2 linked regions of the Elephas maximus indicus genome follow. The main gene of each other region encodes a partner of the protein of the gene in region 2 in a complex. Links are inferred from orthologs where the notes say so. Each region holds a gene or a part of one and is shown on either strand. Other genes may lie near its edges. The genes, in order: VEGFB and FLT1.

Region 1 (7,833 bases), on a different chromosome or scaffold from region 2:
TCCGTTGTCAGAGGCGGGGACAGGTCCAGGACCCTAGATTCTGGTCCTGGGCAAGGAGGCCCCACCCGCCCCAGGGTTCCCCGGGTTTACTTCAGTTTTCCTTGGCAAGAAAACGGGGCCAGGTCCCTTCTCGGAGTACTTGAAGTCCGGCCCCGTCCTGGTCTCCATGCATTCCTCTCTGTGGCCTCCTTTCCCCAGCTGCCCGCCCGCCATCATGCCGCCCCTGCTGCCCCTGCTGCCCCTGCGCCTGTGCCAGCTGTGGCGCCGCAGCCCCCCCACCCGGCTCCTTGGAGCGGCCGCCGGGCAGCGGTGAGTTGGGGGCCAGAAGCCAGGCCCAGTCGTTCAGTGGGTTTTTGTTGAGAATCTACCGAGCTCTGGGCCCTGCCCTCGATGCTCGGATAGTTGGGTCTCCACCCTGTGCCAGGTGCCTTACAGGCTAATCTCAGGTAACCCTCACCCTCACTGCTGAGGACCCTGAGGATCAGAGATTAAGGGACGACCCCAAGGTTGTACAGCGAGTTAAGTGGCAGACTTGGCATCTGTTCAACCCGATGTGCTTTCCACAACACTAGTAGTCATTGACCATCACTGCACATAAGCCACCTGGAGGGTAGGGGGAGTTGCAAAAATGTGGATTCCTGGGCCCAGCCCTAGAGATTCTGATCTGGAGGAACAAGGTGGGTCTCAGGAATCTGGTTTTTTAACAAGGTCTTTAGGTGTTTCTGCTGCAGAGGGTCTGAGGACCACAATCGGAATAGTCCTGATTTGTACGCCTTCAACACTCAAAAAGGGAGGAGGGATTTGGAGCTATGTCTGTGTTGGGACCTGCCTCAGCCCCTGAGCCTCGAGGAGTGGGGGTTGGAGCCTTCAAAGAGGCCTGGTGTCCACCTGGGGTACTGGGCCAGAGGGGGACCCCAGATCCCTCAGGGCTTCACTCTGGAACCACAAGGTCTCATGAGGGAATGTCTTTATCCCAAGGGAGAGGGCTAGGGATCTGCTCAGCCCCCCACCGTGTCTCCCTGGGAAGCGTACAGTGCAGAGGGCTCTGAAGCTCAGGAACCCTGGGCAAGCTCAGGAGGGAGACATGAGGGCTGGATGTCTGGGTCTCCCTGCCCAGTTGAATCAAAGAGTGGGCATGGCCAGAGAGGATGGGAGGAGCAAGGAGGGGGTATCCTCTCGGTTCCCTCAGCCCCTGCAGGTTCGGGCCTCTCTCCTCAGGTCTGGCCCCAGTAACTACTATGAATTGCTAGGGGTGCATCCTGGTGCCAGCCCTGAAGAAATTAAACGAGCTTTCTTCACCAAGTCCAAAGAGGTACCCATGCTCATAAGGGGGTGGAAAGGGAAGTCTGAGTCAGCTAGGGATATGCTCCAAACTCCTAGGAACGGAGGTGGGGTAGAATTGTGTCCCTAGCTGGTGCCACATCCCCTTAGCCTGCAAGGTAAGGAGTGGGAGTGCCCAAAGAGGGGGAATCTGGACCAGGTGGGAGGGAAGGTTGGGGTAGGAGCCAGTGGTCCTCTCTAAGGGGCTGGGCATGGTTCTTTTGATTTGCCTGCCCACTGTTGACTTAAAAGGCCTGGATGAGGGCATATGGTGAGAGTAGGGGCTGGCAGAGAGGGATGGCCCGAACACGGTGAGGGCAAGTCTGTGCTTCCTCACTCTGGCCGTCCAGAGGGCAGGCAGGCTTGAATTCAAGGGTCGCTTACCAGCTAGGCCTCTCAGAGTGATTGAGCCCTTGTGGGTGGACATCATTGAGGTGGGTCCTGGGAGAAGGGGCATGGAAAGGGAGATGAGGGGAGTCCTGTCCCACACCAGCTGCACCCCGACCGGGACCCTGGGAACCCGGCCCTGCACAACCGCTTTGTGGAGCTGAATGAGGCATACCATGTGCTCAGCCATGAGCAGAGCCGCCGCAGCTACGACCACCAGCTCCGCTGGTCAAGCCCCTTAAAGTCTCCAGGGACCACAGCCCATCCTGGACCTGCCCACCAAGCACGCAGGTACACCAGTCCTGCCCCCAGCTCATCCCTCCAGGTCTCCTGGGCAGCCTCATCCCCACACTGTATCTCCCTCTCTTTCCCAGCAGCTCCTGGGCACCTCCCAACGCACAGTACTGGGCCCAGTTCCACCGCGTGAGGCCACAGGGGCCTGAGGCGAGGCAGCAGCAGCACAGACACAACCAGCGGGTGCTGGGGTATTGCTTTCTGCTCATGCTGGCAGGCATGGGCCTGCACTATGTCGCCTTCAGGTGCACTCTGGCTCCTTGGGTAGTGGGCATGGGCGGGAGGGCAGGAGAGACTGTGAGCTCAGTAGGCTCTCCCCGTGGCCCCCATGGCCGACGCTCTTGTGTTCCTCAAGCTAAGAACTTCATTAAACCCCATCTCTGGAGCCTCTTCTTACTTGGCAGAAGCAGAGGCACTAATGGCTAACGTTGTCATTTTCTGTTTTTCATAATTTGAACGTAATTCTTTGGTGCCAGCTGCCAAGCAGCACTGGAGCAAACCCAAATCGTGAACAAGAAGCAAAGGCCCAAACCTCATGGGATTTGGTTCCTTGGTTTTTGAGGTTTAGGGTCATGATTTTATGAGACATCCCAGTTAATAGGCCTAATACCGTGTTTAGTGCTTCTGGTCTATTGTGTAGTGGCTGGAGTCTTAAAAGCTTGCAAGCAGCCATCCAGGGCACAACAATTGGTCTCTATGCACCTGGAGCAACAGAGGTGGGAAGGAGAGTCAGGAACAGGAGGAGGAAGTGGAATGTGTGGCTAATTGCCTTCATGAACAATGGTCTCCTTTGCCATGAACCCAGAAGAGCTGAATGGTGCCCAGCTACCATTACTAAACATTTTGATCAAAGATTCCATAGAAGAATCCTGATCAAAAGGAGAAAATACAGGACAGAATTTCAAATTCTCATGGACTCTGGACTTTCTGGAGCCATGGAGGCTGGATGAACCCCTGAAACTACTGCCCTGATATCATCTTTAAACCTTAAACCAAAAATATTCCCAGAAGTCATCTTAAAACCAAACAATAGTTTAGCTTAACTGGTAAAAAAGGTCTGCCTTGAACATTATGCTCTTTAAAGAGCTCTCTCTATGGGATCAGACTGAAAACAGCAACTCGAAAGATCAGATGGGAACCTTAGGGGGCAGCAAGTGTGTGTTAATGAGGGAGGAACAACTTAGAGAAGGTGGGTGAGAATGGTTGTACAACTCGAAGGGTGTAATCCATGTCACTCAGTTGTACATGTGGAAACTGTTCAATTGCTGTATGTTTTGCTATGCATTTTCTCAACAACAAGGAAGTAAATAAAATTTAGAGAAGAAAAAAAAAAAGAAAAAGCAGTCTGTGGACCAGAACCAGAGCATGAACTGTTTGCTACCAATGAGATGAAGGTATGGTAAGCATTTAGAAACTTTTATAGTGATTTGGAATAGTAATTTTATGTATGTTCAATCTAATAATTTAAAATAAGGCTTATATTCTGTTAAAAAAAAGAGTTGAAGAAGAAACAAGTCATCTTCACTGGTCCTCACCCACACCATCCTCACTCAGTCAGTCTGCCGGTTCCCGGCCACTCCTGCTTCCAGGCACACCAGTACCATGGCGGTGATTTTCTACAGCAAAGATACCCATAGGCTGGTACCCACAGCTAGCAGCCTGTCTGGTTCAGGGATAGGGTTAGAGGCACAATCCTGTGTAGCCTCCTGCCAGGATCAAGCCGATGTCCAGAGTTCCTGTCACTAACTTCAGCAGAACGGCCAGGGACCTGGGTCACCATTGGACCCTGGACAAGCCGTGGCACATTGTTTCCCTTCCCCACATACACAGGCTAAGGTCCCACATATGTAAAGCCATGAGACCCCAGGGTGAGGTGGAGGGGAGCAGGACTTGGGGGGCAGCAGGGATAGGGAACCCAGGGTTAATAGTAAACCCCTTGCAGGAAGCTGGAGCAGATGCACCGTAGCTTCATGGATGAAAAGGACCGGATCATCACTGCCATCTACAACGACACGCGGGCCCGGGCCAGGTCTGTCCCTGCCCTACCCTGCCCCTTCCTCACCGCCTTGGCACCACCCTCCCTGCCCCAGCCAACGGGTGCTCTCTCTTCAGGGCCAACAGAGCCAGGCTCCAGCAGGAGCGACTGCAGAGACAGCAGCCGCCGCTGCCAGGGCCTCCCCAGGACCCTGGGATGGTGCCCAGAGGCGCTGACCCGTGAGGGGCCGCCTGGACGGGGCCTGCAGTGTGTCCCCTCCTTGCCTTCCTCCCAGGGCTCCCCACTCCCCAAAACGCGTGCAATAAAGTCATTTTCAGCTCTAGTATCTGGCTGCCTCCTTCAGCCCAAGCCCCCCGCCAGGGCCTCGCCTTGGGGCTGCGCCCCGCCCTCGGGTTCTGGCGGCGGCAACCCAGGAGCCCGGCCCCCTGGGCGGTGCGTCCCCTTTCCCCTGCTGCAGCGGGAGGGGGCGTGTGGAGGGCGGACCCCGCAGCCCCCGCCCCGCCCCCGCCCCACGGCCCGGTGGGGAGCTCGTTGTCTGGGTCACATGAGCCGCCCGCCCGCCAGCCCGGGCCCGGCCCCCCGCCGCCCCAGCCGTCCCCGCCGTTGCCCGCTGCCGGCCGCCCGCCCGTCTGGCTCCTCCGGCCGCCGCCGCTGCGCTGCGCTGCGCTGCCTGCGCCTAGGGCTCGGGAGGGGGCCGCGGAGGAGTCGCCCCCGGTGCCCGGCCCCCGCCCGCCGCGCCCGGGCCCGCGCCATGGGGCTGTGGCTGCCACCGCCCCCCGCGCCACCGGGCTAGGGCAATGCGGGCGTCCCCGGCGCGCGGCCCTCGTGGGCACCATGGGCCCCCTGCTCCGCCGCCTGCTGCTCGCCGCGCTCCTGCAGCTGGCCCCCGCCCAGGTACGTGCGGCCCTGCAGCCCGCTGCCTGCCGTGCCCTCTCAAGGTTGGCGGAAGTGGGGAGGCGCGTGCCTCGGCTGAGGGAGCTGCGGGGTCCTCCTTGGACCGGGGCATTGCCGGGCCAGAGCATCCCCCGGGAGGCGCCCCTCCTGCCGCCTCAGCCTTGGGGCCACTCCCCCACCGCACCCCGTCCCACCCGTCCCCTGGGCGCAGTCGGGGGCGGAGCCACTTCGGTGCCTGCAGGACCTGGTTTCGGCGCCCACTGTGTCCCCTCCTGACCTGCTGCCTCCAGCACAAGGCCAACCGCGAGGCTTGGAGATTCGACGCCGCCTGCAGAGCGCGCAAGGCGGGTCTTGGGCCAGGGCAGGTCCCAGGTGGCCAGGAGAGGACAGGTAAAGCTAGAGCCATGGCCCCAGGAACAAAGCAATCTGGGAAGATGTCAGACCTTGAGGACAGAACCCTGGACAGCAACGGGGCCAGCCCTTCCTAGAGCCCTCCCTGGGTCCAAGGGGTGTCCCCCACCTCAGGCCTCTTGTCTCCCACAGGCCCCTGCCTCCCAGCCTGATGTCCCTGGCCACCAAAAGAAAGGTAATAATAGTAACAGTAACTTGGTAAGAGCCAGCACAAAGTGGGTTTGCCACATGCCCTGATTCTGAGTACCTTGTTGCTGTCATCTTGTGTCATCACAACTGTCCTGTAAGATGCCAAATCTTATTGTGCCCATTTCACAGAGGATAGCATTGAGGCTGTGGGGTTCCTGGGTTCTGGAGACAGGGCAGGGGAAGACAAGTTGGAAGGGCAGGTGGAGGCCAGCTGTGACATGGAGACTGGGGAGAAGAGCTGCTGGGGTGGGGGGCAGGGGAACCAGGGAGCAGCTGCAGGAAACCCCGTGGGGACTTAACCCTTACCGGTCTGCCCCCAGTGGTGTCATGGATCGATGTATATGCCCGTGCCACCTGCCAGCCTCGGGAGGTGGTAGTGCCCCTGACAGTGGAGCTCATGGGCACTGTGGCCAAGCAACTGGTGCCCAGCTGCGTAACTGTGCACCGCTGTGGTGGCTGCTGTCCTGACGACGGCCTGGAGTGCGTGCCTACTGGGCAACACCAAGTCCGAATGCAGGTACCAGGGCAGGTGGAGTGTGCCTGGCTTGGGTGGACACTGGGGCACAGGGAGGGGTGGGGACCATGGGCCTGCCTGTTGGACAGGCTGTTTTCCCTCCAGCCCTTGGAGTGTCCCCTTTGGCTTTCACGCCCACTGTCTTACCTGTCCTCCTCCTCCCGAGCACAGATCCTCGTGATCCGGTACCCTAGCAGTCAGCTGGGGGAGATGTCCCTGGAGGAGCACAGCCAGTGTGAATGCAGGTGCCAGCCAGGCCCACCTTCTGCACTCACAGACACCAGGCTTGAGGGGTGATGGGTGTATGGCACCTGGGGGTGGGGACCGGGTTTCTGGGAGTAGAGCCAGGCTAGGCCTGGGATCTGGGGCAAGAGAGTGGGGTGCTTGAATTTCCTGATCCTCCCTCTCCTTGTCTCTGTCTCTCTTACCTTTCAGACCCAAAAAAAGAGAGAGTGCTGGGAAGCCAGACAGGTGAGCCTTTCCAGCTCCTGCTGAGGTGGAGTTGGAGCCCAGGATGGGTGGGGTGCGTGGAGTAGAGGCTATACAAGTGTGTCAGGAAGCTGTGGTCCCCTCCCTCTTTCTCCTCCCACTTGTCCCCCCTCCCCTTTCCATCTGCTCCCGAGTCAAGTCGTGTGCTCTGGGGTCTGACCTGACCCCAGCTCCCGGAAGCTGGAAGCCTCTTTCTTCCTGCCCCAGACATGTTGCTTCTCCTCCTAGGGCTTCCACTCCCCACCACCGCCCCCAGCCCCGCTCCATTCCGGGCTGGGACTCTGTCCCCGGAGCACCCTCCCCAGCTGACATCACCCATCCCACTCCAGCCCCAGGCCCCTCTGCCCACGCTGCACCCAGCGCCGCCAGCGCCCTGACCCCCAGACCTGCCACTGCCGCTGCCGACGCCGCAGCTTCCTCCGTTGCCAAGGGCGGGGCTTAGAGCTCAACCCAGACACCTGCAGGTGAGGGGCTTGCGGGCTGGGTCTTTTGGGAAGGCCTCAGGCCCGGTCCTGGAGCAGGTCCAGCATGCGTCTGCCAGTGGGAGGAGAGCCAGGGAAGTGAAAGCTGTTGAATGTGTTGAACAAGTATTTCCCAAGTGTCTGCTGCATCGTGATGAGCGTATACAAGGCTAATGCTCTAAGGTGGGAGTTGGGAGTTGGATGCGAGGACAGATCGTGCTAGCAGTGGAGGTTGAGAGCTGTGGTGAGGGCCACCTGAGCCCATCTTTGAGAGGTCAGAGAAGTTCTCCTTGAGGAGGTGACATTTGACTAGAGATGAAGGAGACAACCTCTCCCAGTTTGCAAAGCTCTGGGCTTCCCAGAAGCCCCTGTGGTAGACATATGGCCCACATCATGGGTACCAAGAGGCCAGGGGATGTGGTGGGACCCAGTCTGCCGCCCTTTTCTGAGGTGCTCTCACCCCTTCTCCACTCCACAGGCAAGCCATGGGGTGTCGTCATTAGGACCAGACCAGTTGGGGCTTACCAGGAGTGTTAGGCGAGAATGGGATTCACTGAGAGTAACAAGGGGTGAGTAAAGAGGAGCTGGGGCTGAGCTCCAGCTGGTGTAAACAGACCCCTCCCCTCTTCAGGTGCCGGAAGCTGCGAAGGTGACACATTGCTTTTCGGACTCAGCAGGGCCACTTGCCTCACAGGCCACACCCCAGAAGGGGACAAGAGGGGAGCCTGATGAGGACACTCCAGCCCTCAAAACCTCAGCCAGGGCAGACGTTGCTCCAGGACCTGGGCCTCTCAGGGGGCTCTCCTGCTGTCCCTTGTGCCCCCGAGGCCACCGTCCAGTTGGGTGGGCACAGTTGGGCAAGAAGACTTGGAGGCATC
Region 2 (7,083 bases):
CCAAATAGCTGCAAGGAGACTCCTCCCGGACGTCCAAAGGGCAGAAACCTGGCCACTTTCTGGATACCCTTCCCCAGAGACGCAGTCTTCCGTTCTGTTTGTAAGCCGGAAAGCAGGTAGCTGATGGTTTTACTGTCTGAGACAGTTGCTAATCAGCTAAGACACCTGCAGTTTAAGTTTGCAAAGGCAGGCTTTGCAATTGCAAACTCCCTAAGCTGCCCGAGGAAAAGGGCCATCACCTCGGCACTGTTGGCTCCCCTTTCTTCCTGTCTATGCACACGAGCATTTTTTAAAAAATTACAAGAGTGCCAAGATTTCTTTTAAATCTTGCCCCATTTTAGTAAAATAAAATCTAAGCGAAATCACCAAGAAGCTCCCACCTACATTTTGGAAAAATTTCCACAGATTAAAGTTGCTTCTATTCAGTGAAGCCAACCACTTTTTTTTTTTTTTGAGATCCGAACATTGTATTTAAAATCCTATTAAGGGTGCCTTAATAAATATTTACTATCGATATTGACAAATTATAGTGAAAATATATTCTAGAATCTGTAGAGCATTTCTAAAAACTGACCATAGGTAAAAAAGGTAGCCACCACGAAAACATTAATGTATTTCTCAGTACAAAAACCGCCACAACGAATACAGAAATTTGTAAAAAAAGTTTAAAAAACAATAAAGTTGGATAATCAGAGAGAGAACCATGTTTCTTGAAAGAAAAATAAAGTTGTATGTGTGTGAAACAGAAACTCCAGTAAAACAGTATTTCCCTCACCCCATTTTTTGGATTTGCATTAATTTACCTTTACATACTGGAAATAGCTTTGGCAGGTTTACTAAATTCTTAAGCAATTGTATTTCAATATAAAACCCCAGTGCCCTCGAGTCGATTCCGACTCATAGCGACCCTGTAAGTGACTTCAAAACACAAACGCATCTGTGAAATAGAAAATACAATATTTCATTTCGTTATTTGAGCAACTTTCCAAACCTACAGCAAGTTCTCAGGCTTCACAATTTGGACCCCATCTCCTGGCTTTAAGGGATCACCAATTTAATTGGAACTCTTACTTGTTCCTTAAAAACTGATGATACAGGTGAGTGTTCCCACTGAGAAACGACATTTAACGGTTACAGCCTTGGAAATCCTATGAGTCAGTTCTACTTTGTCCTGCTGGGTCGCTATGAGTTGAATCAACTCGACCGCAAATTTTTTCTTCCTTCTAGACTTAGCAAGTTTTTTATTTGTTTGTTCTTTAATATGCTCAACTCTACTGACTTTCCTTCCTGGGAAACGTTGCAATGACTGATTTTAGTTTATAATACTGTATCTTGTTTCATATTTAACCTTTCTCCAGGTTGCTTAAAAAGAAAGGTGCTCCGAAATCTGGCTCTGCGCCCAGGGGGACTGGACCCGAGGGTACCGTCAGTCTGCCCCGCTGGGCAGAGATGGCGAGTCCGGGTCTCTAAGTCCTCTCAGGCTTTGACCCCTCTGTGGGGCCACCTCCACACTAACTGCTCGCATAGCCTCCTGACCCCCGAGGCTCCGCCGCAGGTTATCCCTGTCTTCTCGCAAAGGCCGACTCCGCAGCGGGGCGGACCGCACCGAATCCTCTGACCGCATCTTTGGTCCACACATCGTCCGCCCTTTCTTAGCTCGGAATTCCAAGGCTAGGCTTGCAATTCCGAAACCTAACGGTGTCTGGGTCCTCGGCCGCCCTCGTCAGTCCAGGGCCACTCACGTCGGCGACCTGGCTGCACCGCGTGCCCGTCGGCTCCGGGCAAAAGCGCCACCGGCCGGCTGCGCGCAGCTCGCTCTGCACGGCGGAGGCAAGAGGAGGCGCTGCCAAAAGCTCCCGCTGCGGGGAGGGAGATCACAGTGCTTGCCCTCTCCTGGGATCCGTCTGGTTCCCGCCAGCACGCGCCCCCTCCAAGTTGGCTCTGCCCTTCTCTGTCTCGAGATGGTGGCCGATGACCAATGTCGCCAACGGCGCGCTCAGCCCAGTCCGGCAGCCTCGGGGCGTTCCGGGCGCCGCTCCCCGGGCTCCGGAGGGCGCCGCAGCCCAGCACAGGGCGTCCGGCGCAGACTGAGTGCCCGCCAGGAGCTCCGGCCCGGGAGCCAGCTTTGGGGGCCGGCGAGCCCTCCCAGTGGGACCCGACGCTGCGCCCGCGGCCGGGCGAGCTGCAATGCCGGCGGGCCCCCCGCCGCTGTCCGCTCGCAGCGCCCGCCGCGCGGCGGAGGAGAGGGCGCCGCGTCCGCAGGCGGGACCGCACCAGTTTAGTCTCCCAAGTTCCCGGCGGCTCGCCCTCCCGGCTGCAGCCCCCCCTCCCCGCTGGCCCCGGCCCTGCCCTCCCCGAGCAGGACTCGACCCCCGGCGCGCCTCACCTGCGAGAACCAGCCCCCCGAGCAGTGCGCACAGCAGGACCGCGGTGTCCCAGCAGCTGACCATGGTGAGCGCGATGCGGCCTGTTCGCCCGGCGCCCGCGCTCCCCGCGGGCCCACGACCCCGCCGCCTGAGCCCGGCCTCGAGCTGCAGCCCTGCACCCCGAGCGCCCGTCGTCGTCGCTCCAGCCGGGGGGACAAACTCCCTCTGTGGGTAATCCTCGCAGCCAAGCCCGAAGCCGCTCCGCGCCGCCGCTGCTGCCGCCGGGAGGAGCGCGAGAAGTGACCGCCGCGCGCTCCCCGAGTCTCCTGCGGACCTCAACTCTGAGGAGCAGGGCGGGGGCGGCTTATAACCTTTCCCCGGCCCACTTCCTCCCCGGCACCTCCTCCCGTGACGTCAAGGGGTCCCCCACCCCTCATCCGCCTCCCACCTACCCTCTTCTTCCTCCCGGGCTGCTTCCCGACCGCTCCGCGCAGGGGCGGGGGCGCCAGGGCGGGGTAGCCCGCGGAGCGCGGCAGCGTGAGCGCGGCCCCGCAGGTTCAGGCCCTCCGGCCGCCGCGCCGCTCCCCCCTCCCCGCCATCGCCGGCAGGAAATCCTTGAGGGCTCCCTCCCCCCCCCCCGGCTTACTCAGCTCGGGGGCCGCCTGGAGTGGGGAGGGCAGAGAGGCTGGCGTCCCACGCCCCGGTGCGGGCGGAAAGTCGGAGCAGCGCCCCTGCAAACCGCTCCAAGGGAACTCTGCGCGACAGCGTCCTGGGCACAAGGAGGGAGCCACAGGCGCGCTCTCTCCTGCCGGGTTCTGGCTGCGCCGCCCTGCTGCCCCCAGTCCCGCCAGACCGTCCCGAGACGGCTAAGACGAAGCCGGGGACCCTCTACACGGGAGACTTGACCGGGAGCGCCCGGAGGTGACCCAACGGGATGAGTGCTCCCTGGGGAACGAGTTTGTGTCTTTTTCTGCCGCAAAGATGCAACCGCCCAAGTCATTTCCTCAACCCCATGCTTCCTAGAAGCAAAACAAGGAATAGAACATCCTAATACTTTTTAAAAAGCTGAAGCATGAAACCACTCTTGCAACTTGCAAGGGCTGAGCACTCGAACTTTATTCTCTAATCGCTCTGACCAAAGAAATCTTGCTGGGTGGCAATTTTCTACGCAAAATGAGTGACTGTGCCGCTCTTTGAACAAAACCAGTTGACATGAACTGGAGGCACTAGATCATTTGCGATGACACTAATTCCACGTTGATCCTCAATTATGTCTCCACTACCTCAAAGGCTGAAATGGCTCTGGGCTCCACGGAGCAGCCCAGTCTTGTCTCTGTAAAAACTGCTTTAAGAATTAGTTCTTATTGGAACGTGGCAGACAACCCTAATGAAAAGGACCTTGGTGGCTCCTAAACGGAGCCGGCGATTCTCCCTGAAGGACTGAACTACATACCTCCGTATCTGGAAGGTTGGGTAACCTGACGTTGCCACATGTCCCGGCATCACAGACAGAGCTGATGCCCCAGCCACCCGCCTCCCCGTGCGGGGAACGCACGTCTGCACACCTGCATTCCGGGCGCCTGAGCCACAGGCTTTCGTGGTTCAGGAGAAGCGAAGACTGGACAATCAACGCTAGCCTCTGACGGGACCATCTCTCTTGTTTTTTTCAGTGCTCCTCATCACTCTACTGCCCTCCCAGTTCTCCCTGGCTCCTTTTCTCTGCCTTGCTCAAAACTTTCTCCTCCAAAACCATGCAATCATCTGGCGTACAGCTGATAAATACTGATCGGACAGCTGGAAGCTGAGCCCCTGATCCTTGTCCCGACTGTTCACCCAGCCCAGGGCACAGCCCCTTCCACCCCCAGAGCCAAGGGGTCCGGCAGCCTCATTTCAGAGCTGCTGGTCACTCCTACGCCCTGTCCCAAGGAGAAGCTGTCAGCGTTGTCCTCCAGAACCTAACAAGGGCCAGGCGTTGTGCTAGGGTAGAACACACTCACATGAGAAGAGATCACTGCCTACCAAGGGGCTCAGGATCTGCTGAGGAGGCTGGAGAGTTACAATGCTGGAGGGGTGCTGAGTATACAAGATGGGCAGAGAAGAGAAGACAAGGCACCAAGATGGGCCTGGAAAGTTCCAGAAGGGCTCCTCAGAAGTGATGCCTGAGCTGCTGCTGGGGGAAATGGTTCTCAGTTCCCCACTTGCACAGCACAACATATAAAGTTTTCATGTATTTTCAAATGCTGTTTTGATTGTTTAAAACACATAGACCCCATTTTCTAAACCTGCTGCCAGAAATGAACGTACATTGAGTGTGTTTGTGAACCCAAAGAAGGTAGTTGACAGTTGAAGAGATCTTTATAAGCAGGTGAGCATCTAAGATGCTAGTCAGTGATAGTTTTCCTGTTGCTGTCATGTCAACTCTGACTTATAGTGACCCTATAGGACAGAGGAGAACTGCCCCATAGCGGTTCCAAGGCTGTAATCTCTATGGAAGCAGACTGCCACATGGAGTGGATGGTGGGTTTGGCAAATTTTGGTTTGCAGCTGAGTGCTTAATATAGTGCCGTATTTAAGTTTAAAAGAGTCAAGGTCCAATCTGACCTAGATTTACACTGAAACCTTCTGCAGTGAGAGGGGTCCTCCACACAACTCTTCTTTTGAAAAGTTGTCGGCTTTTGCTATAGTCAGCAATGTTTTTTTCTTTTCTTTTTAACTACTTCTTTTGATAAGTTTCACTAGCCTCCTCACAGAGAACTCAAGATGCTACAAATTGTCAAAGGGTTATGTGAGAGAGCTTAGAGCTAGGGAATAAAGGTATAGCTCTCAAACTCCTCCCCCAAAAGATAATACCATTGACGGAGAATGGGCTACAGCACACTTCTGACTAAATTGCAGATGAAAGAAATTCTATAGCTAATAGTGATGGACAAGATCAAATTCAGCATGCCTGGTAGGTATAAAAAGCTATTGAGGTCGACTATCTATCTGCTTCCTGCTCACATACAAAAGAGCATTTCATTGCCAGCTTGGTAGCAAAACCAGACACTCTCTCTTGTTATCAGCTGCAAACATTCTCTTGAGAATTCTTTCTGGTCCCTATTCAGAAGTACGCTATTGGTAAAACCAACAGCTCTCATATTCAAGACCGACTAATAAGAGTGTTGGGACATCAGTGCGAGAGACAGGAGGGAGTCCAGGGCCTCATCTTCCCACAGTGGACCAAGGGGGAAACTACTGACCTCGTAGTCACTGAGGGTCAGTGACAATTTCCATCCCCTCATGGGTTAGTTAGCTTCATACATACCACACAGTGTAAAGATGTACGGTCGGTTACAAATACCAGGTGATCTATAAACCCCTTCTGTGTTATATGAAAAGTAACTCACCAATACATATGCTCTTGACAGTTCCAGCTCCCTTATCTAAGAAGCATGTGTCCTCACTCAAACCTGTGGTAGGAAATTGTGTTGAGACACCCAGACGGGCATATTTATGGTTTTATTAGTCAGATGCTCATAACTCACTGGCTTCAAAATCTTGCTCAAGGCAACCTGACTATGGCAGAAATTGTCTCCATTTCCAAAGAATGGAAATACGTGGTACCAGTTGCCATCAAGTTGACTTTGACTCATGGTGAACACATGTGTGTCAGAGTAGAACTGTGCCACAGTGGGTTTTCTTAAAAGTAGTTCAACCCATCTACTGAGCCAATCAATGGATTTCCTTTAAAATAAGGTTCAGTAGCCATCCAACTCTGATATTTCCACATGAAAATGTATCCAACACCCGAAGGCAGATATTCTGGGCCCCATGTATCTTCTCCTCTCCAGGCTCAACATCCCTGCCGCTTTGATCGCTCCTCAAATGACATGCTCCTGAAATCCCCTCAAATTCCTCTCCACAGGTTCCAGTTTATCGGGTTCCCCACAGGTGAGAAGGAGCCCTGGTGGCACAATGGTTCAATGGTTGGCTGCTAACTAAAAGATTAGTAGTTTGAATCCACCCAGTGGCTCTGAGGGAGACAAACGTGGCAATCCGCTCCAGTAAAGATGATAGCCTAGAAAACCCGATGGGGCAAGTCTTTTCTGTCACCTGGGGTTGCTATGAGTCAGAATCAATGGCACCCAACAACAACCACCACAGGTGAGATACTCAGGATTGAAAATGCAACAGAACTCTATTTTCTTCCACCTAGAGATTTTTGCCCCATCAGGGCACAGAGAATAGCAGGTGGGAAGGCCCGGAGGTGAGAGAGGAAGGGAGAGTAGTTTAGATGGAGGGAACACCCAGGATGGAGGAAGAGCAGAGGGAAGCGTCCCTTAGAGATCTCGAGGATGAGGGCAGTGGGTACCACACTCAGGAGCACCACCCACCCAACTGATGGCATCTCTTAGGGGCCACCAGCCAGGTACACCCTTGCTCCTCATTCTGCTCCACCTGCTTCAGCCCATCCCTGATCCCTGGTCCCTCCCAGAGGCTGATGCCGCTGCTGTGTTTATAAGATCTCATTTTGATTAATTTGTGCTTCTAGCTTCTTTCTGAGGCTGGGTGTCTCCTAGCTCAGAGCTGTATCTCATCGCTCTGGACTCCTTTTACTCCCCGGGGGCTGTGACAGGGATACTTCACTTCTGTTTCTGCAGTTTAAGATCAAAGGAGCCTGTTCTGTAGCACTGCATGCCTTCCCCATTTACTATTGGTTAAAAACCTCAAGGCTTTT

What was found.
Region 1: the proteins of FLT1 (region 2) and VEGFB are in contact, whole or in part, in a crystal structure (PDB 2XAC), measured with the Homo sapiens proteins. The link is inferred for Elephas maximus indicus from reciprocal best matches to the Homo sapiens genes FLT1 and VEGFB. Residues at the interface, in NP_002010.2 of Homo sapiens: Tyr139, Glu141, Pro143, Phe172, Pro173, Tyr199, Ile202, Gly203, Leu204, Asn219, Leu221, Arg224, Thr226; in NP_003368.1 of Homo sapiens: Ser37, Trp38, Ile39, Tyr42, Thr43, Thr46, Cys47, Gln48, Pro83, Asp84, Asp85, Gly86, Leu87, Cys124, Arg125, Pro126.

Annotation. Positions count from the first base shown.
Region 1 is NC_064825.1:127,414,240-127,422,072, forward strand, and holds the start of VEGFB (vascular endothelial growth factor B), read left to right. Parts: upstream 1-4,574; 5' UTR 4,575-4,794; coding exon of another isoform or gene 4,795-4,831; coding exon 4,832-4,891; coding exon of another isoform or gene 4,892-5,281; intron 5,282-5,434; coding exon 5,435-5,477; exon of another isoform or gene 5,478-5,797; intron 5,798-5,811; coding exon 5,812-6,008; intron 6,009-6,176; coding exon 6,177-6,250; intron 6,251-6,440; coding exon 6,441-6,476; intron 6,477-6,722; coding exon 6,723-6,936; coding exon of another isoform or gene 6,937-6,958; intron 6,959-7,586; coding exon of another isoform or gene 7,587-7,608; 3' UTR 7,609-7,833. Other genes in the region: DNAJC4 (dnaJ homolog subfamily C member 4), read left to right, coding at 1,085-1,312, 1,814-1,998, 2,082-2,246, 3,944-4,030, 4,114-4,219. UniProt on the Homo sapiens protein: Growth factor for endothelial cells. VEGF-B167 binds heparin and neuropilin-1 whereas the binding to neuropilin-1 of VEGF-B186 is regulated by proteolysis.
Region 2 is NC_064841.1:60,817,625-60,824,707, forward strand, and holds the start of FLT1 (vascular endothelial growth factor receptor 1), read right to left. Parts: upstream 3,209-7,083; 5' UTR 3,013-3,208; intron 2,937-3,012; exon of another isoform or gene 2,819-2,936; intron 2,708-2,818; 5' UTR 2,451-2,707; coding exon 2,387-2,450; intron 1-2,386. UniProt on the Homo sapiens protein: Tyrosine-protein kinase that acts as a cell-surface receptor for VEGFA, VEGFB and PGF, and plays an essential role in the development of embryonic vasculature, the regulation of angiogenesis, cell survival, cell migration, macrophage function, chemotaxis, and cancer cell invasion.